Linked DNA regions of Tamandua tetradactyla. The protein of the gene in region 1 interacts with the protein of each later gene in a biochemical or structural test. Links are inferred from orthologs where the notes say so. Each region holds a gene or a part of one and is shown in the gene's direction. Other genes may lie near its edges. The genes, in order: RPA1, RAD51 and RFWD3.

Evidence for each region.
Region 2: the proteins of RPA1 (region 1) and RAD51 form a complex in vitro, tested with the Homo sapiens proteins (2 studies listed by BioGRID). The link is inferred for Tamandua tetradactyla from reciprocal best matches to the Homo sapiens genes RPA1 and RAD51.
Region 3: the proteins of RPA1 (region 1) and RFWD3 form a complex in vitro, tested with the Homo sapiens proteins (3 studies listed by BioGRID, with this or other methods). The link is inferred for Tamandua tetradactyla from reciprocal best matches to the Homo sapiens genes RPA1 and RFWD3.

Annotation. Positions count from the first base shown.
Region 1 is NC_135332.1:55,591,649-55,601,915, forward strand, and holds the start of RPA1 (replication protein A 70 kDa DNA-binding subunit), read left to right. Parts: upstream 1-5,717; 5' UTR 5,718-5,854; coding exon 5,855-5,887; intron 5,888-10,267. Other genes in the region: protein-lysine N-methyltransferase SMYD4, read right to left, coding at 4,238-4,379, 5,168-5,204. UniProt on the Homo sapiens protein: As part of the heterotrimeric replication protein A complex (RPA/RP-A), binds and stabilizes single-stranded DNA intermediates that form during DNA replication or upon DNA stress.
Region 2 is NC_135340.1:53,975,593-53,985,754, forward strand, and holds the start of RAD51 (DNA repair protein RAD51 homolog 1), read left to right. Parts: upstream 1-5,279; 5' UTR 5,280-5,547; exon of another isoform or gene 5,548-6,173; intron 6,174-8,659; 5' UTR 8,660-8,679; coding exon 8,680-8,766; intron 8,767-10,162.
Region 3 is NC_135342.1:69,204,550-69,215,150, reverse strand, and holds the start of RFWD3 (E3 ubiquitin-protein ligase RFWD3), read left to right. Parts: upstream 1-5,982; 5' UTR 5,983-6,123; coding exon 6,124-6,166; intron 6,167-10,601. UniProt on the Homo sapiens protein: E3 ubiquitin-protein ligase required for the repair of DNA interstrand cross-links (ICL) in response to DNA damage. Plays a key role in RPA-mediated DNA damage signaling and repair.

The DNA of each region.
Region 1 (10,267 bases):
GGCCCAACCTCTCCAGAACAGCAGCTAGTTCCATCTCCCTACCCCATATTAACGACAGCCACTTCCAACATGAAAAAGTTAGAATGGCCATATCCCTAAAGAGAGGGGCAGAAAGATTAAAGGTGATGGTGGAGTTATACAGAGAAGACAGGATTTAACAAATGAATATGATTGCTGAATCATTAAATTGATACCTCTTTTAGTCTCCATATCTTAGAGCAGCTAGAAGCAAAAACCTAAATTTGTGGAACTGTAACCCATGCCAAACTCAGAAATCTGTTCTACAACTAATTGTGGTGCTGTGCTTTGAAATTTATTGCTTATATATGTTATTTTCCACAAAAAAAGAAAAAAAGGTGAGAGCGGGGAGAAATTCAACTTCCCGAAGTTGAATTCTTGATATTCTCACAAGCAGTGTGGACAACCAAAGCTACAGGCTGAGCCCCTAGTCTTGGGGTTTGTTCATATGAAACTTAACCCCACAAAGGATAGGTCAAGTCTACTTAAAATCTAGGCCTAAGAGTCACCCCCAAGAGAGCCTCTTTTCTTGCTCAGTTGTGGCCTCTCCCCCCAGCCAACATGACGAGCAGTCTCACCACCCTCCCCCTTGCTGCGTGGGACATGACTCCCAGGGGTGTGGACCTTCCTGGCAACGTGGGACAGAAATCCTGGAATGAGCTGAGACTGAGCATCAAGGGACTGAGAAAAACCCTAGAATGAGCTGAGAATTAACATCAAGGGATTGAGAGAATCTTTTCGACCAAAAGGGGGAAGAGTGAAATGAGACTAAGTGTCAATGGCTGAGATTCCAAACAGAGTCGACAGGTTATCCTGGAGGTTATTCTTACGCATTAAGTAGATATCACCTTGTTGTTCAAGATATAGTGGAGAGGCTGGAGGGAACTGTCTGAAAATGTAGAGCTGTGTTCCAGTAGCCATGTTTCTGGATGATGATTGAACAATGATATAGCTTTCACAATGTAACTCAGTGAATGTGAAAACCGTGTGTCTGATGCTCCTTTTATCTACCATATCAACAGAAGAGTAGAACATATGGAATAAAAATAAATAATAGGGGGAACAAATGTTAAAATAAATTTAGTTTGAAATGCTAGTGGTAAATGAAAGCGAGGGGTAAGGGGTTTGGTATGTATAATCTTTTTTTCCTGTTATCGTTTTGTTTTTATTTCTTTTTCTAAATTGATACAAATGTTCTAAGAAATGATGAATATGCAACTATGTGATGATATTAAGAATTACTGATTATATATGTAGAATGGAATGATATCTTAATGTTTTGTTTGTTGTTAATTTTTATAATTAATAAAAAAATTTTAAAAAAAGAAAAAATCAATTGTGATAAAAAAATATATATTTATTCCTTCTAGCCTCCTATATTCTGGAGCAGCTAGAAGGAAAAATCTGAGAGGATTTTTTTCATATGGTAGCCCATGACAAACTCTGGGATCTTGTTCTGTAACGATTTGTTGAAGAGTGCTTTGAAAACTATTGTTTTTTTCTTTCTTTGCTTTGTATATATGTTATATTACACAATTAAAAATGTTAAAAAAGAAAAAAACAAACACGTGGAAGGCTGGATTTAGCCTGCAGACTTTAGTTTGCTGAGCCCTGCTTTAAAACATAATCAAATCGCATCATTCTTCTCTTAAAATCTGGTGTACTGGGTGGGCCACGGTGCTTCAGCAGGCAAGAATGCTTGCCTGCCATGCCAGAGGACCCGGGTTCGATTCCCAGTGCCGGCCCATGTAAAAAAAAAAATCCTGTGTATTCTTTTTCTGTTGCTGTATAACAAATTACAAATTACCATAGACTTAATGGCTAAAAACAACACCCATTTTTTTTTTTTTGTCTTCTGTTCTCATTTATTTTTCCATCAGCCCCTTTTCTTCAAATCATTGCACATTGTTATTTTGCCATCTAGGTCTTCTTACTACAGCTTCCAACTATAATGTAACAAAGACCCACTAATTTTCCATATGCCTCAAATTTCCATGGCTACCTCCCACTACTAAAACTGACCTCTTCTACCTCTTATTTTTTCAAGTTTTTACTTTATTCTTGAAAATGGTTCAGTTAATATGAATAGGAGGTTTACTTTAAATAATGACTTAATATATTATCTCCTCATAGTGTTTTCCTTTTAAACATGTCTTAATAGAATAAGTAAAATGAGATTTCAGACTTAACTAACAGAAGGTAACTATTGCACATCTCTTCAGGTACAATAAAGAAGCACACATCATTCATTTATACAACCAACAAATATTTTAAGATTATATACTACATGCCAGGCACTGAAGACAAAACTTCAAGAAAAACAAAGTCCCTGCCATCATGGGTCATAATGTATAATGGGAGACTAGATGTTAACCAAGCGATCAAATGAATATAAAATTACAAATTGGCAAAATCTATAAATAAAAAGTACAGGCTTCTATAAAAACACCCATTTTTTATCTCAGCTCTGAAGGAAGACAGGTAGACTCAACTGGTTTTCTGCCTAGGGTGTTAGAAGGCCAACTCAAAGTGAGCTCTTATTGGAAGGATATGTGGAAGAATCCATTTCTAAGGTCCTTCAGGCTGTAGGTCTGAGGTCCCATTCCCTTGCTGGCTGTCAGCCAGGGGCCACTCTCAGCTTCAAGAGGTCACCCGCATTGCCATGTGGCCCCCGACCTTCAAAGTCAGCAACTGCACATCAAATCCTTCTCGTTCTATGAACGTCTCTGACTGACCCTTCTGCTACCAGTGAAAAAACCTCTGTTTTGAAAGGTATGACCTGACTGGGTCAGGCCCACTCAGATAATCTCCATTATCTCAAGGTGAAATAATTTAGGGCTTTAATTTCATCCGAAAAAACCTCTTCACAGTGGTACATACACTATGTTAGACTGAATAACCAAGTACAGGAACCTTGCAGTGGGGTGGGTGTGAGGGGTGGGATTGGTAATCTTTATAGACCTCTGCCTGCCTATCACTTCAAGCAATAGCTTCCTTCTCAGAGAAAAAAGACAAGGCCCAGGGATGCAAGGGTAGTTCAGTGGTAGAATTCTTGCCTGCCACGTGGGAGACCTGGGTTCAATTTCTGGTCCATGTACTTCCCAAACAAACAAACAAACAAAACACACAAAAAAAACAAAAATTCAACAAATGGTACTGCAATAACAGGGTACTTACATGGAAAAATAATGAAATGTGACCCCTACATACAGCATACCAAAAAAAAAAGAAAAAAAAAAAAAACCCTAAAGACAAGGGCTTATATGGTCTGTGCCACCTGCTTTCCCCCAACCACCATGCCTGTCCTATTATCTCTTAGACTTTATTTCCTACTTCTCTCTCTGGCTTACTCTGTTTATGACTCCTTGAAAATGCCAAACATGCTCCCATCTTAGGGTTTCTCGCTCTAGTCTCTGCCTGGAGTGCACTTCTCTCAGATATCTACTTTGTTAAATCCCTTACCTCCAACTCTTCGCTGGGGTTTCACTTTTTCAACGAGGCATAACATGACCATCCTATTTAATACTACAACTGCACTCATTCTGAGCACAGCCAGTTTTCCCTAGCTTGTTCTACTTTTTCTTTTTTATTGTATTTATCACCTTTAACATATTACATGCTTTAGTTATTTATGATATTTATTATGTACCCCTCCTCGCTTGAATTAAGCTCCTAAGGGTAAGGATCTTTGTCTATTTTGGCCACTTATGTATTCTAAGCATCTAGTAGTATTTGGCACAAAATAGGTGATCAATAAATATTCATTGAATGAATGACATTTTGAGAAATTCCTGCGTCGTGTGTACTAGGATATAATGTAAAATGTTTTTCTTATTGAGTGCTATAGTTGAGGGAATTCGAAAACTATGGGGTTTAGATTATATGATCTCTAAGGTCCTCTCTAAATTTGAGCACTAACGAATTTCCGTGAACAATTAATAAATCTCTTTAATACCCTTTAGGCGATAGCAATGTTCAGAGCACGGTGACTACAGCAAGGTATTGAATTATTGAAACATAACACTGACACCAAGAAAGCTAAATAATCCTCACTACTTGTTCTATGATTGTACATTTAAAAAAAGGTGAAAACTGTACGAAGAATTGCTGAATGCCCCTACAACATAAAAATCTGAAATTAACCCACTAAGAAGAGATATTACTTCAGAGCAAATGACAAATGAGAAAATTTTCTAGATTAAAATTTCCAGTCACTTACTGAAGATGTGAAGAACACTGAAGAAAGATAGCACTCAAAGACTTTGCTGTTGAAACTGTGACCTGAATGGAGAGTGGAAGTAAAGACCACTTTTTAAGTACATATGATTTCCACTCATCCACAGGCAGGTCCATGCTTAGACCTGCAAAATGAATAAGAAAATAAGGAATCAGATTTCTACAAAAGCACAAATTCTAGGTAAGTGTGAAGCAACAAAATAAATTATTTTGGTCTTTTCTTTAGTTGTTGATATGGATATTTTGTTGCCTTATATGTCTGAGGAAAGATCTACATTCTCTCACACCAACTCATACAACATCCTTTCATTCAAAAATATTTATTAAAAGCCTATGCTGGTACCAGTCCATGCCAAAAAAAGGCTATGCTATAGGCACCATGCTAGATAATGGTTATGTAACCATGAATCAAATTAGTTAGCTACCATCCCTGTGCTCTTGCAACATCCATCCACCTTAGTAGCTCAAGTCAGAAATCTAGGAGTCGTTCCAGATTTTTCTTTTTTACTCACCGGAGAAACTCTTCAGTTAACATAACATTTCTATCACTTACATAGGTGTTTTTTCCTTCAAATTCCCTTTCACTCTTTCAGTTCAGGTCCTCACCATTTCTAGTCTCTCTGACCTCAGTTCCCCTCCACCTCCATCGTCCACATTGCAACAGAGAACAATCCTCTGCCTTAAAATTCATAAACACCCCTCCTATCACATAGGAACGCCCAATACAAACCCTTCGTTATTTGCCCTTTAGTCTTTCTTTCTTATTCTCAAGTCCCACTTCTCCTTCCTCTGTACACGACCACGCTGAACTATTCACAGCTTCCCCGTCTCGTCTCCCAGGTTGTTAAACTGTTTCGTATCTCCAGTGTTTTTGCATAGCCTTTTCATTCTGCCAAGAACACCCTACTGTCACCTGAGCTCCACCTGGCAAACTTCCACACATCCTTCATGACTCAGTTCAAATGGCCGGTGATTCCAACACACTTTGTGTCTCTCCTGTGGCGTACCATGTCCACCTTGAGTAAGTGCACAGCAGCAACTCCCCGGACAGACTGTGCACGTCGGGAAAAGCTAGAACTCGTTCTTATTTACCTTCAGAGGCCTCTAAAATGCCAGGTTCGCAGCCTAGCAGCAGCAGGCGCTCAAACCCGGTCGCTGAAGGAAACCAGACGCCGCTGTGACTATTTTTAGCGGCAGAATTAACAGGGAGCAGCTCTAACCGTCCTCTGCCATTCGCTCCACCAGCCAAGGGCCAAAAGCCCGCTGGGAAAGCTCCCAGAACTGGGCCACGGCAGCCTCCGCTCGCGCTCCCCCAAGCTTTGGCGCGCCCCACAACTCGAGACTCCTCCCCTAGGCTCCGCCATCCGGCGACCAGGCCCGGAAACGCCTGGGGGAGGGGGGTAATTACGTAGGGCGCCCGCCACGTCCCGGCCAATGCGGTTGCAGCTTGGCTTTAGGCCCGCCCCCGCGCCGCGTGCAAGGCGGGAGGCTGCGGTGGCGCGCACAACTGTTCGGGCCGATTGCTACGAAGCGTGCGGGACCGCGGGAGTGGAGTCCTAGCTGCGGAGGTGTCTGAGCGCGGAGTCAGCCTGGCGGAACCATGGTGGGCCAGCTGAGTGAGGGAGCCATTGCGGTAAGGAGGTGTCCGGGAGCCACGCCAGCGGGGGTTGGCTGTGGGCCCTGGAGGTGGGGAGTCTGGACATGTCCGGAGTGGAGAAGGGGAGGGGAGCTGGGACCCGGTGGGCAGAGAACGCGGTGGGGGGCGGGTGTAGAAGATGCGGGGAGCCGTAGGGGAACTGCCCGGGTGCCTCTCAAGTACCGTTACTCCTCAATGGGTTTTCCCTATCGTCTTTTAGAAATGCTCACCTTTTTCCCACCCAAGAAAGCAAAACAAAGTAAACTTTTGATTTCTCCCCATCTCCCTCCACCTGTCCCGCCCCTCCCGCCCCCCACCAATTCACAGCTAAACTTCTCCGGAGGGTTTTCTGTTTTCATCTGTTTCATTTTCTCACCCCTCAATAACTCTTTAACCCACTGCAATCAGTAATCTCCCTGATCACGATAGAAAGCTCTGGGTGGTGTTACCAGGGGCGTCCAAGTTGCTAAATCCAACTTGACACTTTTCAGTTTTCAATTTGTCTGAGTTATCAGCTCTTTGAGTCTGTTGAACATTGCTTTCTGTTGACATTTTCTCCTCTTTTGGTTTCCGTGACTCAACTTGAGTGATCTTTCCCCATCCTATTTGCAAACCCCTCTTTGTAAATTTTTAGACTCAATCTGCTCCAGGCCCTCATCTTCCAAAGCATTCTCATTATCATCTGTATGTCAGTTGCTCACAAATTTTCTTTGTTCCAAACTGCCTTTTACTCTGAAAGACAAATCTCTATAATCTGTCTGCTTACTTCATGTCTCAAAGGCATCTAGTCATCTCAGCATGTCCAAAAGCAAATACATTATCTTCCTTTCTATGGCTGGGCCTTTTGATTTTTTTTTGTCCATCTGTGGCATCTTTATCTCATGAGGTATGCTAGCCAGAAATTGAGAAATCGTTCTTATTGCATCCTCCTTCATCCTGGAGGTCCAGTCCTTCACCACATCCTGTATGATTTTATTACACTTAAATCCTGTCCTGTATAATTTATTCCTCTTAAACCCATCTATGTTTTCCCATCCACACTGCCACTCTTATTTCTAGGTTGGTCTACTCACTTCCTCTCAGTGTACCCTCTTTCCTCAACACTCCTAGTGATTCCCATCCCCTGTTGCAAAAATATAAAAACTGCTTCAGTGGCTTCCCAATGGTCTTGGGATAAAGACCAGAATTCTTATAGTGGATGCAGGGTCAGAGTTGGTTGAGCCTACTTGTCTCTACAGCCTCATCATAGTTCCACTTGTTATGTCTTCTCCAAGCATAGGGCCTTTATTGTCTTATATTATTATTATTTTTTTTAAGTTTAAATTCCTGGTATATTCTACACTCTTGTCTTCCATGTGGCCTTTGAACATGCTTTTCCTTTTTTCTGCATCCTGGATGGGCCTTCATTTTCCCCTCTCATTAACTAACATAATGTTGAAATAGGTCAGTAGTTAACTTCCTCAGAGAAGTCTTTGACTTCTTTTGCTAGGCTAAATTCCTTTATTTTGAAACCATAATCCCTTTTCACTTACTAACTGTATGACTTTGGGCAAGATGCTAAACTTTTTTCTGCCTTTTTCTCCTCTGTGACATGAGGGCAATGACACCTAGTACTTATTGCATAGGGCTAGTGGGCGGATTAAATGAGTTATTCCATTTGAAGTGCTTAGCCCAGTGCCTAATACATAGTAAGTGCTCAGTAAACTTAGGTATTGTAATAACCACAGATGTAATTTACTTTTATTTGTTGGTTATTTGATTCATATCAGCTACTGTCTTTGCTATTGGATTTTAAATTTCATGAGGCTCGCAATCACTTCTGTTTTTTTTACCAGTATAGTTTCCCAGTACCTAGAGCAGTGCCGGCAGGATTCAGGTTTGCTAATTGCATGAATGAATGAGGCAGTGAAAAGTAAGGGGTGTTTGAGACAGAGATAAATAAGCAAGAAAGGGAGCATGGGAAATGGGAAGGGGTAAAGCTGTTGTAAGAGTTGAGTAAATATTTGAATAAATGAGTGTTGAGACCTAGGAAGTGATTGCAAACTGTAGTCCTCATTCATATTATTGTAGTTGCTTTAAGACAGACTAGGGTTCTTCGCTTTTACAAAAATTATTTTTATTTAAATAATTTGATAAGTGAGTTTTCCCTATGTTCAGATCTTTAGAAATACATTTCCAGTGTTGGGTGAAGTATTTGCATTTTACTCATGAATGAAAAAGGACGTTTTCGAGCGTGTGTGTGTGTGTGTGTGTGTGTGTGTGTGTGTGTGTGTGTTTCTGTCTTAGTGGTGACAGACAACCTCTGTTCTCTGGTGGTATAGAACCTTTGTCAACTTTGGTCATTGGCCAAATTAGATAATATCATTTTAGTTCAAAAGGCACAGACATGAAAGGATGGCAGTAGTAGAGGCTTTTTGGGCAAGAATTAACATAAAATAAAAGATTATGTTTTCCACTGTGGCTGTATCATTTTATATTCCCACCAGCGAAGTACAAGGGTTTCTGTTTCTCTGGATCCTTGCCAAAACTTGTTTTCAGGTTTGTTTGTGTTATTGTTTTTTCCTTCAAAAAATAGCCATCCGAGTGAGTGTGAAGTAGTATCTCATTGTAGTTTGAATTTGCATTTCTTTAAAGATTATCAATGTTGAGCATGTTTTCATGTATTTATTGGCCACTTGAATACCTTCTTTGGAGAAATATGTCTGTTCATATCCTTTGCCTCTTTTTCAGTTTGGTTGTTTGTCTTTTTGTTCAGTTGTAGGAGTTCTTTATATGTTTTGGTTATTAAACCCTTATCAGATATATGGTCTTAAACTAATAATCTATTTTGACCAGTAGCAACTTAGTTTCAGTGTACAACTCTCTATTCCTATATATCTCCATCCTTCTCCCTTTATATTATTATTAGCTCAGATTGCGTCTTTATACATTTTATGCCCATTAACAAGATTTAAATGTTATTTTATACATTTGCCTATTAAGTCATATGGGGGAGAAAGTAGTTACTAACCCAAAGTACAATAATATGGGATTTTATACTTACTTGTGTAGTTATCTTTACCAGTGTTCTTTTTTTTATCTCTTACAGCTTCAGGTTGCTGTCTAGTGTCCTTTTATTTCAGCCTGAAAGATTCCCTTTAGAATTTCTTGTAGGGCAACTCTTCTCATAGTGAACTCTTTTAGCTTGTATTCGTAAACATTTTATTAATTTATCCTTCATTTTTAAAAGATAATTTTGCTGGATAGAAAACTCTTGGTTGACAGTTTTTTCTTTAAGGACTTCAAATATGCTATCCTACTGTTAGTGGCTTCCATGATTTCTGATGAGAAATTTGCTGTAAATCTTATTGGGGATTGCATCTCACTTGCTGCTTTCAAAATCCTCTCTTTTTTTATGGATTTTTACAGTTTCATTCTAATGTGTCTTGGTGTGTTTCTCGTAGTCTGCCTGCTTGGAGTCTATTGAGCATTATAGATGTATACATTTTTCTCTTTCATCAGATTGGGGAAGTTTTTGGCCCTTATTTTTTCACATACTTTTTCTGCCCTTTTCTCTTTCTTGTTCTTCTAGGGCTCCAGTGATACACATGTTGGTATGCTTGATGGTGTCCCACAGATGCCTTAGGCAATTTAAACAGAAATTGCACAAGTATTTTTCCTTGAGATAGCAGTCATACTTCAGTATACAACAGGAGTACTTTGTGCATACTTTCATATTGTTAAACAGAATATTAAAATTTTGTGTATTCAAGGGTTGAGATTTAATATAATGGGTAATTTTTACTGCTTCATCAGGGCATTCTTTTTTTCGGGGGGCGGGGGGTGTTGGTAAATGGTCCGAGAACCGAACCTGGGTCTCCCGCATGGAAGGCTCGCATTCTACCACTGAACCACCTGTGCACTCTCATCAAGGACATTCTTAGGTGAACTTCCCAGCCCTCCAAAAATCCAAGGCAATGAAGAATACAATGACTCCTAGTGTAGTAGCTATGCTAAGGGACTAATCGTTTTACCTACCATTGCTTTGCACTATTAGTGCAGATGTCAACACAGTTGGTTCCAGGATAGCTCATGAATTTCAAAAAATTATTCAGTACTTTGAGTATTTAGTATGATTTGATTTGTTATAAAGCATTGTCATAAAAGATCTTATTAAAAATGGTTAAAATGGGAAATTTTGTGTTGTATGTATTTACCACAATAAAACTTAGAAAACAGAGCAAAAAGCCAGGAGTCTAGAGACCAAAGGATCTCTAAGGTCCCTTCCGGTTGTTAATGACATGTTATTGTGAAGTTCAGCAAGAAGAAGTGAGTGTACTTGGTGGGTGAACCTGGAAAGGGCCTGCTGATGTGGTAGCAGGAACGGCACTGTAGCTT
Region 2 (10,162 bases), on another chromosome or scaffold:
ATAACAAAAAGCATAGAAATATAAGAATCACTAGTGTCCCAGAAGAAGAGAAGAATAAAGGGCTATGAAGATTATTTAAGGAGATAATTAGAGAAAACTTTCCAACCCTTATAAAAGACATAAATATGCTAATCAAAGAAGCCCAAATCCAAATAGGCCCACTTGGAGACACATACTAATCAACTGTCAGATGCTGAAAAGAAGCAGAAAGTCCCAAAAGCAGCAAGAGAAAAGTGATTCACTGCATACAAGGGAAGCCACATAAAGCTCAGTTTGGACTATTTGACAGGCACCGTGGAGGCAAGAAGGCAGTGGTATGATACATTCAAGATTCTGAAAGAGAAAAATTTCCAGTGAAGTATTCTTTATCCATCAAAGTTGTCCTTCAAAAGTGAGGGAGAAGAGAGCCCTGCGCAGCGGAGCCCCCACCACTGCTGGCCTAGTTACCATCTTGCCCCAGAGGAGCCAGAGCTGCCACAGCCGGCCCTCCTCACCAACGCCGCAACCATGAGACCCCAGCTGCGACCACCCCCGCCCTCAGTGCTGTTGACACCAAGCTCAGTGCCACAGGCAGTGGCACAGGAAGCAGCATCCCAAGCGGCCTCACATTGGCGGCACCTGCCTACAGGGACAAGATCATTGCCTGGAAAGTTTTGGGAACAGCAGAATGGTTTGATGCAAGAAATGGATATGCTTTCATCAACAGGAATGATACTAAGGAAGATGTGCTTGTACACCAGACTGCCATAAGAAGAAGTACCTTCACAGCGTAAGAGACAGACTGTGGAGTTTGATGTTGATGAAGGAGAAAAGGGGGCAGGGGTAGCAAACATCACAGGTCCTGGTGGAGTTCCAGAGCAAGACAGTAAATATGCAGCAGACTGTAACCATTATACACATTTTCCATGTTGTAGGGGCCCTCCATGCAATTTACCAGCAAAATTACCAGAATAGTGAGAATGGGGAAAATAACGAGGGATCAGGGAGTGCTCCCAAAGGCCAGGGCCAACAACACTGGCCCTACTGTAGGCGACAATTCCCACCTTACTACATGCAGAGACCCTGTGGGTGTCATCCACAGTTTTCAACCCTCCTGTGCAAGGAGAAGTGATGGAGGGTACTGACAACCAGGGTGCAGGAGAACAATGTAGACCAGTGAGGCAGAATATGTATCTGGGTTACAGACCAGGATTCCGCAGGGGCCCTCCTTGCCAAAAACAGCCTGGAGAGGACAGCAATGAAAATGGTAAAGAAAATCAAGGAAATGAGACCCAAGGTCAGCAGCCACCTCAACATTGGCACCGTGGTAACTTCAGTTACTGATGCAGCACTCAGAAAATCCTAAACCACTAGATGGCAAAGAGACAAAAGTAGCCAATCTACCAACTGAGGATTCTTCTGCTCCCAAGGCTGAGCAGGGTGGATCTGAGTAAATGCTAGCTTACCATCTCTATCATCATCTGCTTCAGTCATACAACAAGAAGTGAATATGAAATTCCAGCAATAAGAAATGAACAAAGGATTGGAGCTGAAGACCTTAAGTGCTTGATTTTTGCCAGTCGACCAGATAACTAGAACTACCTGCATTATCTATGCAGCATAGGGTTTTTTTTTTTTAATGGCACATTAACTATGAACTGGGTTGGGTGATGGGATGTAAGGAAACAATTATTCATTAATACATCAAATACTTCCTTATTGTTTACTAAGTTAGGCCCTGAATTATGCACTGACAATACAGTGGTGAAGAAGAAAAACAGCCATAAAACCCTAGAAGACCACATAGAGAGAATATGTAAATTTAGGTGAGAAGAAGATCCAATTTAATTTAATTTAATTTGTAATAAAAGTTTATAACTTAATTTTTTCAAAAAAGTCAACAAATTGCAAGTATCTGTTAATAAAGGCCTTAAATAACAATTAAAAATAGTGAGAGAGAGACTAAAATTTTCACAGACAGATAAATGCTAAGAGAATTTGCTAATAAGAAATCGGCCCTGCAAAAATACTAAAAGGAGTACTGTCAGCTGAAAAACAAAGATAGGAGAAGGAGGTCTGGAGAAGGGCACAGAACTGAAGAGTACTACTAAGGGTAACTTAAAGGATAAAAACAGAGAGAGGAAAAATATATAGATCTGACAAATAAAAACCAAAGGAGAAGATGGAAGATTTAAGAACTGCTTTTACAGTAATAACTTTCAACGTCAACGGACTAAACTCATCAATTAAAAGATACAGATAGGCAGAATGGATTTAAAAATATGATCCATCTATATGCTGTTTATAAGATATTCATCTTAGACCCAAAGATACAAATAGATGCCAAGTGAAAGGATGGAAAAGATATTTCATGCAAGCTGTAACCAAAAGAAAGCAGGGGTAGCTATAGTAATATCAGAAAAAATAGACTTTAAATGCAAAGATATCATAAGAGACAAGAAAGGACACTACATATTAATAAAGCAGAGAATTAATTCACCAAGAAGAAATAACAATCATAAATGCTTATGCACCCAATAAAGGAGCTCCAAAGTACATGAGTCAAATACTGGCGAAACTAAAGGGAGCAAAAGACCTTTCAATAACAATAGTGGGAAACATCAATACACCACTCTCCTCTATAGAAGAAAAACCAGACAGAGAATCATAAGGAAATAGAGAACCTAAACAATGTGATAAATGAATTAGACCTAACAGACATATATAGATCGTTGCAGATGAAGGCAAAAGTCATCCAAAATCTAGACCCAACAATCGAACCTACACTGCCCTCTAAGTGGTCAGGTGAGAGGGAGAGTTAGTTGCATGTCTCTTTCTTTAAATCAAAAGCTAGAAATGATTAAGCTTAACGAAGAAGCTAAGACAGGCTGAAAGCTCTAGACCCCTTGCACCAGTTAGCCAAATTATGAATGCAAAGGAAAATTCTTGAAGGATATTAAAAGTGCTACTGCCAGGAACACATCAAAGATAAGAAAATAAAACAGTCTTATTACTAATACGGAGAAAGTTCTAGTGATCTGGATAGAAGTTCAAACCAGCCACAACATCCCCTTAAGCCAAAACATACTCCAGAGCAAGGCCCTAACTCTGTTCAAGTCTCTGAAGGCTTGAGAGAGTTGAAGAAACTACAGTAGAAAAGTTTGAAGATAGAGTTTGGTTCATGAGGTTTAAGTAAAGAAGCTGTCTGAGTAACATAATAATACAGGGTGGAGCAGCAAGTCCTGATGTAGAAGCTGCAGCAAGTTATCCAGAAGATATAGCTAAGATTATTGATAAAAGGGGCTACACAAAAAAACAGATTTTCAATGCAGGTGAAACAGCCTTCTATTGAACGAATATGCCATCTAGGACTTTCATAGCTAGAGAGGAGAAATCAATACCTGGCTTCACAGCTTGAAAGGACAAACAGACTCTCTTGTTAGGGGCTAATGCAGCTGGTGACTTTAAGTTGAAGCTGTCGCTCATTTATCAATCTGAAAATACTGACCCTTAAAAGTTATGCTAAATTTACTCTGCCTGTGGTTTCTAAATGAAACAACAAAGCCTGGATGACAGCCTATCTGTTTACAACATGGTTTACTGAATATATATATATATTTTTTTAGTATATCTTGATACAGTAATTATATTGTGAACTTTTTTATTTTATTAGTATGACACCATTATTATTATTATTTTTTACATGGGCAGGCACCGGGAATCGAACCCAGGTCCTCAGGCATGGCAGGCAAGCATTCTTACCTGCTGAGCCACCGTGACCCACCCTGAATATTTTAACCCCACTGTTGACACCTACTGCTCAGAAAAAAAGATTCCTTTCAAAATATGACTGCTCATTGGCAACACACCTGGTCAGGAGCCCTGATGGAGATGTAGAGTGAGATTAATGTTTTAATGCCTGCTAATACAACATCCATTCTGCAAAGCATGGATCAGGGAGTAATTTTTACTTTCTAGTTTTGTTATTTAAGAAATACATTTCGTAAAGCTATAGCTGGTATAGAGAGGGATTTCTTTGATGGATCTGGATGAAGTCAATTGAAAACCTTCTGGAATGTATTCAGCATCGAAGATGCCATTAAGAACACTCATAACTCATGGAAGGATGTCAAAATATCAACCTTAACAGGAGTTTGGTAGGTGATTCCAACCCTCATGGACAACTTTTAGGGTTTCCAGACTTCAGTGGAGGAAGTCACTGTAGATGTGGTTGAAAAAGCAAGAGAACTAGAATTAGAAGTGGAGCTTGAAGATGGGACAGAATTGTTGCAATCTCATGATTAAATTTAAACGGATGAGGCTTGTTTAGTATGGATGAGCAAAGAGTTTTTGAGAATGGAATCTCCTCTTGGTGAAGATGCTGTTAAATAGTGTTGAAATGACAAGAATATTACATTAAACTAGTTAATAATGCAGCAGCAGCTTTTGAAAAGAGTGAGTCCAATTCTGAAAGAAGCTCTATTGCGGTCAAAATGCTATCAAACAGAATTGTATGCTATAGAGAGATACGAAAGGAAGAGTCAATGGATGTAGCAACTTTATTGTTGTCTTATGTTAAGAAATTGTCACAGTCACCCCCAACCTTGAGCAATCACCACCCTGATCAGACAGCCGCCACCAATATCCAAGTGAGAAGCTTCACCAGCAAAAACATTACAACCTCCTGGAAGCGCAGATGATTAGCAGTTTTCAGAAATAAAACCTTTTTATTTCTTCTAAAATTTATTAAATTTTAATAAAAATTTAAAACATTTTAAGATTAAGGTATGTACAATTTTTTTTTAAACACAATGCTATTGTTCATTTAATAGACTACAGTATAATGTAAATACCTTTTATATACACTGGGAAACCAAAAACTTTGTGTGGTTCACTTTATTGCAATATTTGCTTTATTGTGATATTTGCTTTATGGCGGTTGTACAGAACCGAACTACCAGTGTCTCCGAGATAGCCTGCAGTATTTCTATTTCTTTCTCCACTTCTGGAGAGCTAGCTCTCAGCTCAATTTCCTAGTTTCATTCATCTCCTATGGTTTCTCCAGTTTCACCACTTCCAGGGACCTGGAAAACAACTTGCTCTGGGAAATTGACTGACTCAGGTCTGGCGAAATGCCAAAAGCCCAGGTTCAGACACCGCAGAAACAAAGTAAAAAAAAACCGTCCCCTGAACCAGATTATCCACCACAGGGACGAGGGTGGGGGCTGCGGCAACCGCGGTACCTGCTGGGAGATATAGTTCCGGGTGACCCCACTACCTCTTGGGAGTTGTAGTCCTCGATCTGGGAGAGAGACGAGAACAGCAGTTCAGAAAATTTTAAATAATCCTTAGAGTAAAACAAAGGGAGCAAGCCTATAATACCATGCTGGTTCTCTGGACCCATCCCTCGGGCTCGCATGCAGTGTCCAAAGCGGCTCCGGGGGGATTGGAGAAGGGCGGGGACACGTTACGCTGACGCAGGCGTGACCCTGCCCGAGAGGGTTTGGCGGGATTTCCGAAAGCCGCCGAGCAGAGTGCGAGCTGAGGCCCAGACCCAGGCCTGAGGAAAGCTGAGGCGCGCTCCGGCAAGCGTAGTTGGGAGCTGAGCCTCGCTTGGATTGTGCGCAGACAGCCTGGGCAGGGGAGTAAGGAAGCGGGGCACTAGCGAGGAGGCCGGAGCTGGCCGGGGTCGGGCCCGCGCAGGGCCAGCGGACAGAGGTCAGAGCGCGCGGCTGGCGAGCGAGGGGCGCTGCAGGCAGAGGTGAGTGTGGAGGCGCAGATCCGGCCCCTTTCCGCGGCTCGTCCCCGCGTTGGCCGGAATGGGACCTGGGCCTTTGCTCTCCCGCCGCTTATCCTCTGTGCTGAGAAACTGGAGATGGCGGAGCAGGGGCGGGTTCCAGGCCCAACCGCCTTTCAGAGCTCGTTGTGAAGACAACCGGAACTGGGAGGAACCTTAGACACCTTCAAGCCTAACACCCGTTCTGTGGGCGAGGAAGTCGAGACCTAAGGAGGTGTAGTGACTTAGTTAAAGTCACAACTTTTTAATGCCACAGCCATGATTTCCGGATTCCTGGTCATTTCTCTTGACGCCACACCGTGTTTTGCTTACAAAGTGCCAATCTTCATTTGCCAAGAAATATTTTCATAATCTAATGTGGAAGGCTGGTCACGTGGTGGCCTGGGAATGCTGGGAAGTGAGTTTTCCCCCCTTAAATTTACCAAGTATAGTGTAATGTATGTAGAGGGAAAAATGCACACATCACGACTGTATGCATTTGTGTATTCAAAATAAATATACTTGTGTAATCACCACTCAGGTCGAGAAATAAAACGCTGTCAGCACCCCAGAAGCCTTCCTTGCACAACCTTTTCCAATACTTGCCCCTCTTTTCCTCAGAGGTAACCACTGACTTATAATACCATTGATTAATTTTGTCTGTATTTGAATATTGTGTAAATGAAATAATACTTTATGGATTATCTTGTGACTGACTTCATGAAACATTATGTCTGTAGATTCATAAAGAATAGTATTCCATATCCATTCTATTCTTCTTAGTTTCAGTTTTTGGATTTTATGAGAAAGGCTGCTGTGAACATTCCTATATATATTTTGGTGTGCATGTGCATGCTTTTCAGGTGGTTAATACACAGAATGGTGCAATTCCTGAGTCAAAGTATTTGTCTGTTTTGAACTTTCACATTTAATGCTAGTTTTCCAAAATGGTCAAAATAGTATACATGCACACAGCCCTGTAGGAGTCACTCAACTTGCCAGCACTTGATATTGTCGGTCATTTTAATTTTAGCTATTCTAGTGGGTATGTAGTATTGTCTCATTGTGGTTTTAATTTAAATTTCCCTGATTATTAATGAGGTTGGGCATCGGTTCATATATTTGTTGGCCATCTGGATATTTTCTCTTGTGAAGTGCTTGTTTAAATCTTACTCATTTTTCTTTGCGTTGTCTGTCTTTTTCTTAATTGATTTGAAAGAGTTCTTTGTCTATTCTGTTTGTCAGCCATTGATTATATATGTGGCAGAATTTCCCCCCTGAGTATATTCTCTTAATACTGTCTTTTGGTGAATAGAAGTTCTGAATATTATGTCCAATTTTTATCTTTTCCATTGTTTTATGATTGTTGCATTTTGTATACAGTATAAGCAATCCTTTCTACCCCAAGGGCAAGAACATAGTCTCCTATATTAAAAGTTTTGCTTTACCTTTTACATTTAGATTTACCATCTAAATTGGAAATTAATATTTTTCTATAATGTGTGATATTTTAGCAAAGTTCATTTTATCATTCCATCTCTATTTACTGAAAAGACCATCCTTTCATCATTAATCTGCAGTGCCATTGTTTTCATAAATTACAAAGAAAGGTATTTGAATTTAAATTGCATCCAGATGATTTGGATAAATTGAATTATTCTAAACTCACAGTATGCTAAATCGCCATGGAAGAGATCCATCCCCAAACCAATGGACACAAATGGTCATCTTATCTTTTCTCAAGTCTCCAGGAATGGAAATTTTGTATCTTTTATGTTTGTTCATTGTTTATGTATCTCTTATCTTTTAGATTACATTTGTCCAAAACTTTTTTTTTTGTGTGCTGTATGGCTGGGTCACATTTCATTCTTTTTTCCATGTGAGTATCCCGTTATTGCAGCACCATTTGTTGAATATTTGTTTGTTTGCTTGTTTTGGGAAGTACATGGGCCAGGAATCAAACCCCGGTCTATTACATGGCTGGTAGGAATTCTACCACTGAACTACCTGTGCACTCCCTTTGTCCAGACTCTTTTGATGTTATTTAAGATGACGTATTCTTGTGGACATCAAGACTCGTTCATTTTTACAATTTGAAACTACTTCTTTCCAAGGCGAGCAATCATAATTCTATAGGCCTTAGGCTAAATGGAAGGGTTTACACTGAATGGGTCACTTGCATGTTTTTCATTTTCTCATTCACTGAGGTGTCTAAAGTTCTGTAATTGAATAAAATGGTGATCCTTGAGTTTCACACTCTCCTATTGACAGCAACAAGTGTGTGATTAAGCTATGATCTTTGCTTAAGTTTCCCTTTCAGGAACGGAGGCTTATGGGCAGCCATTCTGTATCTTCATTTCACTCCTGCCTCCCTTCTTCCCTTCCTCCCTTGCTCCACCCCGCCAACCCCCAGAATTCCTCTTGCTAGAAGGAAACAAGGGAACGAAAGCTGTTAAACCTTTCCTAGGTTGAGAGTTGTTTTTTTTAAAGTAGAGTACTGGAATGTCCGGATTCTTCTAACAAACATTTATCAAACACTTAGCATAATGTATCATGAAGTGTATAAAAATAAATAAGACTTTGCTCCTACCCTCAAGGAGTATAAAGATAATATAAGAAATTTAAGATAGGGATATAGAGGGGAATAGTTAATCTAGTGAAGCTGTGCATCTTTAAGAAGCCAAGTGATCCTGGCTCTTCCTGAAGCTTTTATGTTACAACTCTATCTAAATAGAGGGGAATGCTGGTGAAAGGTTTGTTCTTTTTCCTGCCATGGTTAGGTCAGTGATTAGACTAAACGCCTAACAAGTAATTTTTCAGAGATTTATTGTAAAACTGAATTTGCAACTCCATACTTAAGCCACAGTGTTTCTCTAATATTTTTGATGGCCATCTGTATTTTTCAGTATTGAACACCCCGAGTAATGGCTATGCAGATGCAGCTTGAAGCAAATGCAGATACTTCAGTGGAAGAAGAAAGCTTTGGCCCACAACCTATTTCACGATTAGAGGTAAATGCTAAGTTGTTAAGTTTTGGATTATAATGTTAAACAAGATTCTTCTACCTGCTGGGAGAAATAACAGCCTTTACATAAATCATTCATTTCCATCCAAGATCAAAACTCAAATGAGAATTTTCGTGAGAGTTTTCAAGGATTTTGTGGGAAGGGTTAATATAGGAGCTAAACATGTCTGGCCAGGGCTCTTTTGTCTATAATTCTCCTACGTTATCATTTTTCTTTCTCAGAGTTGGGCTGTCAGATGCTAAAAAGCTTTAGAATCCCCTGGTAGAGTCTCTGTGCCGTTTGCACTTAAGTATATACGTGCTGTCCAGAGAATTCCAGTGGCTTGTGCGCAGCCATGCAGGGAGAAAGGAGCAACTTCTCTATATCACTGAGATTTGTGCTGGAGTTACTAGCAAGGCAGCTGTCACAGGCAGAAAGAAGGACTTGGGGATATAAAGGGAAAAGAGCCAAGCTCCAATGCAAGACTGCCCAAAAGCATTAAGCGCCAGAGCTGGGGTCCTGTGCTGTTTTTGTCCATTGTACAGTGGTACAGTATTAGTGCAGCTAACTTGTACTAAAGAAGTTGGGGAGAAAGGAGAGAAAGTTTTGATTCTGATTGCTTTATTATGCATGTTTCCCTTATCCCAGCTAAGCTTCAAGACCCCAGAAGTTAAGTAAATGGGTAAATGTGGTAAAACATCAGAGATGGTTTTTTTTTGTGGGGGTAGGGGTCTGCATTTTTGGTTAATAGTCATGACTTTTGGTGCCATGAACATCCTTATACCCAGGTATGTGTATTCCTTATTGCTAAAATAGTCCCTGCTGGAATAGCAAACATGGTTGGTTTCTATAGGCAGATACTATTTTCTCCCCTCTCCCAAGCCCTTCCTGCTCCCAGATACATATATATCCCCTCACTAACTCATTCTTTCCCCAGAAGTCATGGTTTTAGTGTCTAATAATACCAAAGCTGTTGGGTATAGGGAGAGAATGGTGTTCTTGGGTTGTTTGTTTTGAAAAGTGGGATAGGGCCCCTGACCAAAAGTAGTCGTCTTCAATCTTTACAACAGAACATCCTAGTCATTGTGCTACAAAGAGGTTATTAAGTGTAAAGATAGTGATACCCTCCATTCTGGAGCAGCCTTATCTGTTTATCCAACATAGTGTAAACTGTCATTTTCTATTAATGTGGAGAGATTGGGAAGCACTGGTTTAAAGTGACCTTTAAATTGACCTTGACCAGGGTCTCAAGGCTTGTTTAGTCACAGTCATAAAAAGTTGGGAGTTAGTGGTTTATTCCTGGTACTTGCAAATTACAGGTTTAATCCCATTATATGATGAGTCCATTTTAATGTACATGACTTTGTAGTAGTTTAAAAATACTGGCTTTGATAATGAAAAG
Region 3 (10,601 bases), on another chromosome or scaffold:
TATGGTATGTATAATCTTTTTTTTCTGTTATCATTTTATTTCTTTTTCTAAATCGATGTACATGTTCTAAGAAATGATGAATATACAACTATGTGATGATATTAAGAATTACTGATTATATATGAAGAATGGAATGATATGTTAAATTTTTTGTTGTTAATTTTTTTTAATTAATAAATTTTAAAAAATGTCTATTCATAAGAAAAAAAAATGGGCTTAGTGGTAGGTTTGAGGATTATACATGGGCTCAGCAACATGGACTTCCACTCACCAAGGCCAACCTGGCTATGGCTACTGCTGAGTGCCCAATCTGCCAGCAGCAGAGACCCACACTTATTCCCCAATATGGCATCATTCCCCAAGGTGATCAACTTGCTACCTGGTGGCAGGTTGATTATATAGGACCACTTCCATCATGGAAAGGGCAATGATTTGTTCTAACTGGAATAGACGCATACTCTGCACATGGGTTTGCCTTCCTTGCATGCAGTGCTTCCACAAAAACTACCCTTCATGGACTTATGGAATGTCTTATCCACCATCATGGTATTTCCCACAGTATTGCTTCTGATCCAGGAACTCTGTTCTAGTTTGCTAGCTGCTGGAATGCAATATTCCAGAAACAGAACGGCTTTTAATAAGGGAATTTAATAAGTTGCTAGTTTACAGTTCTAAGGCTGAGAAAATGTCCCAATTAAAACGAGGCTATAGAAATGTCCAATCTAAGGCATCCATCCAGGGAATGATACCTTGGTTCAAGAAGGCCGATGAAGTTCAGGGCTTCTCTCTCAAGTGAGAAGGCACATGGTAAACACAATCAGGGCTTCTCTCTCTCAGCTGGAAGGGCACAAGGCGAACATGGCATCATCTGCTGGCTTTCTCTCCTAGCTTCCGGTTTCATGAAGAACCCTGGGAGACGGTCTCCTTCATCTCCAAAAGTCGCTGGCTGTGGACTCTCTGCTTCATTCTCTGCTCTCTCTGAATCTCTTATTCTCCAAAATGTTTCCTCTTTTATAGGACTTCAGAAATTAATCAAGACCCACTCGAATGGGTGGAGACATGTCGTCACCTAATCCAGTTTAACAACCACTCTCGATTACATCACATCTCCAGGGAGATGATCTAATTACAGTTTCAAATATACAGTGCTGAATAGAGATTAGAAGAAACTGCTGCCTTTACAAAATGGGATTAGGGTTAAAACATGGCTTTTCTAGGGGACACACATCCTTTCAAACCAGCACAAACCCACTTCACAGAAAATGAAATGCAGGAATTGGCACATGGAATTCTCTGGTCTTACCGTGTTCCTCATCATCCAGAGACAACTGGTTTGATAGAACAGTGGACTGGCCTCTTCAAGACCCAATTATGGTGCCAACTAGATGGAAATACCTTGCAGGACTGGGGCAGTGTTCTTCAGGAGGCTGTGTATGCACTGAATTAGCATTCACTGTATGTTGCCTTTTCTCCCAAAGCCAGATTCATGGGTCCAGGAATCAAGGGATGGAAATGGGAGTGGCACCACTCACTATCACCCCTAATTATCTACTAGAGAAAATTTTTGCTTCCTGTACCTGAAGCCTTAAACTCTGCTGGGCTACAAGTCTTAGTTCCAAAAGGAGGAGTGCTCCTACCAGGAGACACAGCAATGAGTCCATTGAACTGGAAGTTAAGACTGCCACCTGGCCACTTTAGGCTCTCATGCTACTGGATCAACAGGGAAAGAAGGGATTACTGTACTTTCTGGGGTGATTGATCCTGAGTATCAAGGGGAAATAGGATTGCAATTACACAATGGAGGTAAAGAAGAGTTTTCCTGGAATATATCATATCCCCTAGGGCATCTCTTAGTACTACCACACTCTGTGATTAAAATCAATTGAAAACTGCAACAACCCAACCCAGGCAGGACTACCAATAGCCCAGAAACCTTAGGAATGAAGGTTTGAGTCATCCCACCTGGAAAAGAACCACAAGCCAGCTGAAGTATTTGCTGACTGTGAAGAGAACATGGAATGGGTAGTGGAAGAAGGTAGTCATAAATATGAACTATGACCACATGCCCAGTTAAAGAAACAAGGACTGTGATGGCATGAATATTTCCTCCCTGTTTTGTTATAAGCATATTTGTATTTGTACGTAAGCAAATATCTTGTTTTCCTCTTATCATATGACATACATTGTATTGTTCATGTTATAGTATTTAAGTTATTAGATATGAAGTTCAAGAGTGAAAGTTACCTAAGGACTTGCACCCTATTCTGGAGAGATTTAGTGTGTTTCCTGTTGTGTGCATGACAGTTTAGTGTTATTAGGTGAAACATGTCTGTTACATTCTATTTGGAAATTCAGGATATTTCAAGATGATGAGTATAGCTGCCCAGTTGTCAAGGGGTGGACTGTGATGGTTAGGTTCTGGTGTCAACTTGCCCAAGTTATTATGCCCAGTTATCGGTGCACTGGCCTGACTATTGCTGCAAGGGTATTTCGTGGCTGGTTGATAAACCGGAAGGCTGGTTTATTAAATCATCAGTCAGTTGATTGCAGCTTCAGCTGATTGCATCTGCAATCAAAGTGTGTGTTTTCCCGCAAACAATGTAATCCAATCAGTTGAAGACTTTTAGGAAGAAGACAGGCTTTTTCACTGCTTCTTCAGCTAGCAAAACTCTCCTATGGCGTTCAAGATCCTTTGTCGAAGCTGCCGGCTTCACAGCCTGCGCTGTGGATTTTAGACTCTTACATTCCCACGGTTGCATGAGATACCTTTATCAATCTTCTATTTACAGATATCTCCTGTTGGTTCTGTTTCTCTAGAGAACCCTGACTAATAATAGCTACTCTTTAAAAAATCAAAATAACAAGTGTCAAGAGGATATGGAGAAATAGGAACACTCATTCATTGTTGATTGGAATGTAAAATGGTACAACTGCTGTGTAAAACAGTTTGGTATTTCCTTAGAAAGTTAAGTATAGAATTACCATATGTCCCAGCAATCCCACAACTAGTTTTATACCCAAAAGAATTGAAAAAGGGACTGGAGCAGGTATTTGCATACTTATGTTTATAGTAGCATTATTTACAATTGCCAAAAAAAATAGAAGCAACCCAAGAAGCATCAAGAGAATAAAGATAGGAGCATCAACAGATCAATGGGTAACAAAATATGTATGCACACTTTAGGATGTAATTCAATCATAAAAAGGAATGAAGTTCTGATAATAAAAACAATAATAAAAAAGGAATAAGGTTCACATGGATGAAACTTAAAGACACCAGGTTGTGTGAAATAAGCCAGACACAAAAGGACAAATAGTGCATGATATTACTAATATGAAATAATTTGAATAAGCAAATTCATAGACTCAGACTACTATACATGTTACCAGAGACCAGCATTGGGTTAGGCAATGGGAAGTTACTGCTTAATTGGTATATAATTTCTATTTGGGGTGATTGAGTAGTTGTGGTAAAGGATAGTGGTGATGGTAGCACAATATTGTGGCCATAACTACAGAATTGAACTGTACACTTAATTACGGCTAAAAAGGGACATTTTAGTTGTATATATGTCACTAGAATAAAAATTTTAAAACAAAACCATAGGACTGTACAACACAAACAGTAAACCCTAATCTAAACTATAGACTATAGTTAATAGTACAAGTATAATAATATTCATTCATCAATTGTAACCAGGATAACACTAATGCAAGGTGTTAATAACAGTTGGAGGCCTCTAGCCTTTCTCACTTACCTTTGTGAGAGTGCCCACATGTCCTCTTACATGTGTACCTAATAAATTTCCTACTTACTTGCTAAAAAATAAAATAAATAAAGTAAATGAACTACCTTACAATCTAAATAAATAAATAAATAAAAATCATGGGGCGGGGGAGATGTATGGGAACTCTGCATTTCCTGCATATTTTATCTGTAAACCTACAACTTCTTTAATAAAATAATTATATTTTAAAAATCAAATTTCAGATTATCTATGACTTTCGATTATTCATGTTCTCCTTTACCGTTCCACTGAAAATTGGCAGTTGCGTAAATAAAAGTCTGACAATGCATAGCCCGTGCCTGAGATTTAGGTTTTTAAGTGTTTCTCCTAAAAATGAGATTTTTGTCTTCCTTTCAGCTAAATGCTTGAAAAATGGAAAGCGATGTGACCTTCTTTTAGCAGGAGGCAATTTATTGAAGTGGTCTGGGATTGAAGAGATCACACAGGCAAATTCTGCTTGAGCTCTTCAACTCCACGAGAGGATATTTAAGAACAAGATTGTCTCATCCTCTTATGAATCTGGAATTCTAGGGACAAAATAGTGAAATTATTCAATTAGTTACTGTCCTTTGGATAAAGATAATGCCACCAGACAAAGGCCATGGATTCTTTCACCCGACATGCTCAATAACCAATTTCTGAGACATTGGGGTTTCAGAGAGAGAAAGGGTTTATTACTACATGCTAGTAGGAGAGCAAATGGCCTAAGGGCCCAAAAGCTGTCTCCCAGAACTGCAGTGTAGTTCATATAACATTCGCAGTTTTATTAGAGAAAAGGTGGGCAGGGTTTAAGATGAGTACAGTGGCCCCAGATGATGTAATTAGAGGTGATCTAATTATCAAGTATGTGCAGATTAATTACATGCTTAGTCACAGAATATATGGAAGAAAATGGCTGAATGAAGTATAGGTGACTTGTAGGTTAAAATCTAAGCTACTGCGCATGTCAGGTGGGCCCACTTTGGTTATATCTGATATTCGTCATTAAAATAATTTGGGATTTAGAGTGGGTTAGTTGGGGGGGAACCCAAGACCCTTCATTGATAAACCCTGGGGGGCTATCTTTAGGTATTATAAGACTCTTAAATTGAAAAACTGGGTAACTAGGTACAGATGAAGGTTAGTCACAAAGGTTTTACAATCACAGGGGCAGAAGACAAGGGCTAAGCAACCATTATTAGAGATCAAGGCAGCTGGATTATAATTCAGAGATTTCAGGTATTTCCTATCTACTCCGATATGCCAGAAAGCAAAAAGGGACATTAACATAATGATTTAGTAATTAAAATCATCCCTTAAATCCTCATTTCTCGGTAATAATAACTTTTTCACTAAAGCGTTAGGGAGAATCAATGGGAGCCAAAGTTTTAATATTTTCATATGTATCCCGAAATGGAAGGGTAAATCGTTCTTTTGTAACTTTGTCCCGCCAGAAAGTTCAAGCAAATCGCGGCAAAATTCTTTAACCGCTCTCCTTTTCGCGGGCTGAGCGCGACGTGAAGGGCATAGGTTTCTACCAATTGTACGAGTTTTCTTCGTGCATGGTCCCGCCTCATCGGCCTACGAAGGACCAGTCAATGAGAGCGCCGCTGTTCCCGCAGCAGGGACCAATGGAAGAAGAAGAGAGATTATTGGTCACCGGCTGGTGGTTGCTGCCCAATAGGAGCAGGCCGGGCCCGCGGCTCAGGCGGGGAGCTACGGTTGCTTAGGAAGTGGCGGTTGTGGCCCGGGCAGTGCTGGTTCTACGAAAGCAGGGGCTGCCACTGCGCGGGCTCACGAGCTTTACGCGTCCTTCTGTCTTCAGGTGAGGAGGGTGCTAGTTTCTCCCCAGGCGTTGGGTCTCTAGGTCCCGGGTAGCTTGCTCGGGCTGCTGCGGGACCCGGCGACCCACCCCCACCCCCACCCCCACCCCCACCCCCACCCCACCCCCACCCCCACCCCCACCCCACCCCCACCCCCACCCCCACCCCCACCCCCACCCCCACCCCCACCCCCACGAGGTGGGTTGCGGGCGGGCGTAAGCGGAGGCCGGCGGCCGGAAGAGGTTTGGCCTCTCTGGGCGGGTCAATGGTCTAACTGAGACGCCCGAACCTCCCGGGCGAGTCGCCTCAGGTGGGTGGGGGGCGGTGAGGGCAAGAACTTTGAGCGGTCCCGGAAGGAGCCGAATTCCCTGCAGCAAAGTCTCTCGACTATTCATTTGCAAATAATTGCACTCCCGTCGAGCGTCCAGAACTTGCGTCACTTTGAAGAAACTGAGAAACTTAATTTGTTATTTTATCTAGTTTTACGCTGTGACGCAACTCTGTGGCGTTCTTCGATTATCTCTATTTTATCGATGAACAAGTTGAGCAGAAGCGTTAAGAGACCCACAGCAGTAGGTAACAGAACGGGGATTCGAACAGAGGTCTCTGACTCCCCGGTGCCTCCTCATACTTGCTAATAGGCAGGTCGTCTTCCCGGCCTTTGGCGGGCATTGTTTCAAATGACCGAAGCCCTGTGAAGGAGCAGTTGGAAGGATAACATTTCAAGTCTCAACTTCAGTGGCGTACATAGAAAATAGCATTTGTGTGGCACGATGAGATAAATACAAGGGTTGGGTGGCCAACCCAAGCTCTTTTGCTCTTAGGCATCCCTGGTTACCTCAGGGGCTGGGTGGGGGGACTCAGTATCTCTCCGTGTGGCTTGGGAAGCTTTGCCCCAGAACGGCCCGTTCCGCAGAACTTTCTGCAATGGTGGAACGTTCTGTATCTGCAGAACTTCGCGATGTTGGAGATGTCGTACATCTGCGTCATCCAGTACGGTAGCCAGATGTAGCTGTTGAGCACTTAAAATGTGCCTAGTGCGACGGAGGAACTTAATTTTTAATTTTATCTGATTTGAATAGCCTCATGTGACTAAAGACTAGGGTAGCGACTGGTTCAGGTCCCTGGAGTCGGCTCTCTTTGGTCCTTCCCTCATTCAAACCCCCTTTGTTTTCTGGAAGGTTGATTTGTTGAGTGTCTTTTGGGTACTTCGAGAAGTAGCTTGGGCCGCTGACCTTCGGTTCTGAGGCTGTAGGTGTACTCGAGAAACACGTCGTAAGCAATATTAAAGGCATGACCTTAATATTATTTCTGAAGAGCAGTGAAGAATTTATGAGTGAAGTTTGGAAGAGTGTAATTCTTTTCTTGGATAGTGCGTTAAAATTGGTAGGTTCTGTAGGGCTGTAATTCTACAGAAGTTTTAGTGATACAGCACCTGATGTGTTCTCAGGTTTTTGGTTTGGGTTGGGTTTTTGTGAAGGGTAGTGAACACTATAATAGGTATTTTGCGTTTGCTATGTACTTGATGCTATGGAGGATACAGTGGTGGATTAGGTTTAGATTCTGCTTTCTGCCCTCCTGGTCTAATTAGAATGGTTGTTCACTAGGCATATGATGGGAGGAAATTTCATTTTTTAGTATTTAATCATACTGAAAAGTACACAGAAATAAAAGGAGACATGTGCATTTACCACCCAGATTTGACAAATCTTGGCCTTTTGATATGATTGCTTCGTCTTATTTTTTTTTTCCAGAAATAAAAAAAAAATATATAGTTGCAGCTTCACATACACCCCTATACCCTTTCTGAATTTGGCATTTATCGTGCCCATGCGTGTTTTATACTACTGTCATCTATTTATAAACCCAGATAGTAGTATGGTTTCGCATGTTTTTAAAAGACATTATTTTGGTAACATATATAGTATGAATTTTGCCATTTTACCTATTTTTAAGTGTACAGTTGAGTGACTTTAAGTACATTCAGTATTGCGCTATCATCACCGCCATTCATTACCAAAACTTTTTTATCACCCCAAACAAAAACTCTGCACCCATTAAGCAATAACTCTCCATTTCCTCCACCCCCTAACCCCTAGTAATCTCTGATTACTTTGTCTCAATGAACTTACTTATTCTAGATATTTCATGTAAGTGGAATAAAAAAATATTTGTCATTTTGTGTCTAGCTTACTTCACTTAGCATATGTTTTCAGGGTTCATTCATGTTGGAGCATGTATAAACTTCATTCCTTTATATGGCTGAATGTTCTATTTTATGGATATGCCACTTTTTTTAAACTTTTTAAATTGTACAGTATAACATATACAAAGCGAAGAAAAAAAAAAGCAATAGTTTTCAAAGCTCTCTTCAAAAAGTGGTTACAGAATAGATCCCAGAATTTGTCATGGGCTACTATACGATCCTCTCATATTTTTCTTTCTAGCTGCTCCAAAATATAGGAGGCTAGAGGGCTTAAATACTTTTTTATCATCACAATTGACTTTTTTTTCCTTCTTTTTTTGTGAACAATAACATATATGCAAAACTATAAATTTCTAAGCACAGCACCACAATTTGATTTGGGTTACAATTTCAGATTTTTACTTCTAGCTGCTCTGAAATACTGGAGACTAAAAGAAATATCAATTTAATGATTCAGCACTCATATTGATTTGTTAATTCCTATCTTTTCTGTATAATTCCACCATCACCTTTGATCTTTGCATATCTCTCATTGGGGTTTGGGCTATGACCATTCTAAATTTTTCATTTGGAAGGGTCTGTCTCTAATATGGGGTACGGAGATGGAACTATCTTATGTTCTGGAGAGGCTGGGCTAGGTTTCAGGACTGGAGGTTGTAGGTTTCTGGGAAGGTACTCTAGTGCATGGAAACTTTATGGAATCTTATTGCCCTAAGTGTTCTTTAGGATTGACTGGAATGGTCCTGGTTGGGGGTTGGCAGGTTGTGATAGGTAGCAAGGTCTACCTGAAGCTTGCGTAAGAGCAACCTCCAGAGTAGCTTCTCGACTCTATTTGAACTCTCTCTGCCACTGGTACTTTATTAATTACACTTATTTTCCCTCTTTTGGTTAGGATGGAATTGTTGATCCCATGGTTCCAGGTCTAGATTCATCCCTGGAAGTCATCTCCCACTTCACCAGGGAGACTTTCACCCCTGGATGTCATGTCCCACTTAGGGGGGAGGACAGTGATATTGTGTCAAACTTTAGGGACACCCAAGTCAATAGGCCATGACCTTGATCCATATTTTTCTCCCGTATCTTTGGGGACTTTGCCAATACTTTTCGATTATCTGCTTAATATACTCTAGGATATATCCAGGCATTACAATAATCTATACAGGATTAAAGAATAAGAACTCTTTCTTACTCTGTGCTCCCTGTGTTTCAGTTGTTGAAGTGAGCTATACAGATAGGTTGAATTAGATTATGCACTACAGAAAATTTCAGTTATAGATCAGATAAACTTTTCTTCCCTTGGTTTCAAAGAGTATATGTGGTTCTAAAGTATAGTCACTGTCTTCCTTACCCCTGTGTTCTGAATTACTTTAAACCCAACCTGTTCGGCTTCATTCTTATCTCTAATATCAGGTTATATATATAAAACAGCCTCTCAAAATCCAGAAATAATAGCCACCACTCCAGACTTAATGTGTTTGCTCTAAAAGCTTACGATCTAGATCCCTGTTTTCTTATAAGCATTTTCTGAAAGTGACCATACCATTGTTGTTTTTTTGTTCCTGGCTTATTTTGTCTCACCAAATGTCCCACATGTTCGTTCATATCACTGTATGCCTCATGACATTGTTCCTTTTTGTAGCAGCACAACCTTCATTCATAAGCATATACAATCGTTCACCAATCTACTTCTCTGTCTGTATCCTTCAGCCACCTGCATTCATCGAGCATCATGTAGAGGACCCAAAGTCCAATCCATCAACATTCTGAATTTTAAATAATTTCATTGTTCCCCAGAGTCAGGAAACCAATAAACACATCCTCACCAAATAGGAAATCTAAACCTCCTCTTAAGTCTTGTCCCATCCCCATTATTTACCTCTGCTGTTGCTGTGGTAGTGCTTATGGTTTCCTTTTGAACATAGCTCATTGCATGCAATAGCTGTTTTCCCCCTGTACTCTGGACTTAAACACTCTTTGTACAAAAATCATATCTTTGAAGTAATTCTTACGAGAACTGATTCATATTTCTAGTATAAGTCAGTGGGACACATAGGTCTGTACAACCCCGTTCAATCTCGTTCATCTTCAATATGGTAATATTACTTCTAGACCCGCTAGAGAATCACCTTTGCTCCTATCTATTCCCTTATACTGGAGTTCAACCTCATTAGCTAACGACTCACCCATCACTATCTTCTCTGTATCTCTAAGTCTCCTATGTTTTGTATTACAAGCCTCTGGTCATACCTTTATGCTGGTCATAAAAGTGGAATCATACAGTATCTGTCCTTTTGTGTCTGGCTAATTTGTCCTGAAGGCTCATCCATCTTGTCATGTGCTTCAGGACGTCAGTTTGTCTTACTGCTGCCTTATATTCCATCGTATCTGTGTACTGCATTTTGTTGATCCACTTGTTGTTGATGGGTATTTGGTTTGTTTTCACCTTTTGGCGATTGTGAATAATGCTGCTATGAACACTGGTATGCAGATGTCTGGGTCATGCTTTCAGCTCTTCTGGGTATATACCAAGTAGTGCTATTGCTGGGTCTTACGGCAACTCGATACTTAGTTTTCTAAGGAACCGCCAAACAGTCTTCCATAGTGGCCACACCATTATACATTCCCACCAATGGTGCATAAGTGTCCCAGTTTCTCCACATCTTCTCCAACATTCAAAGTTTCCTGTTTGTTTAATAGCAGCCATTCTTTTTTTTTTTTAATTTTTTAAAACATAGCAATGAACAAACACAAACATTCTTACCATATGATCATTGCATTCTACATATATAATTAGTAATTCACAAT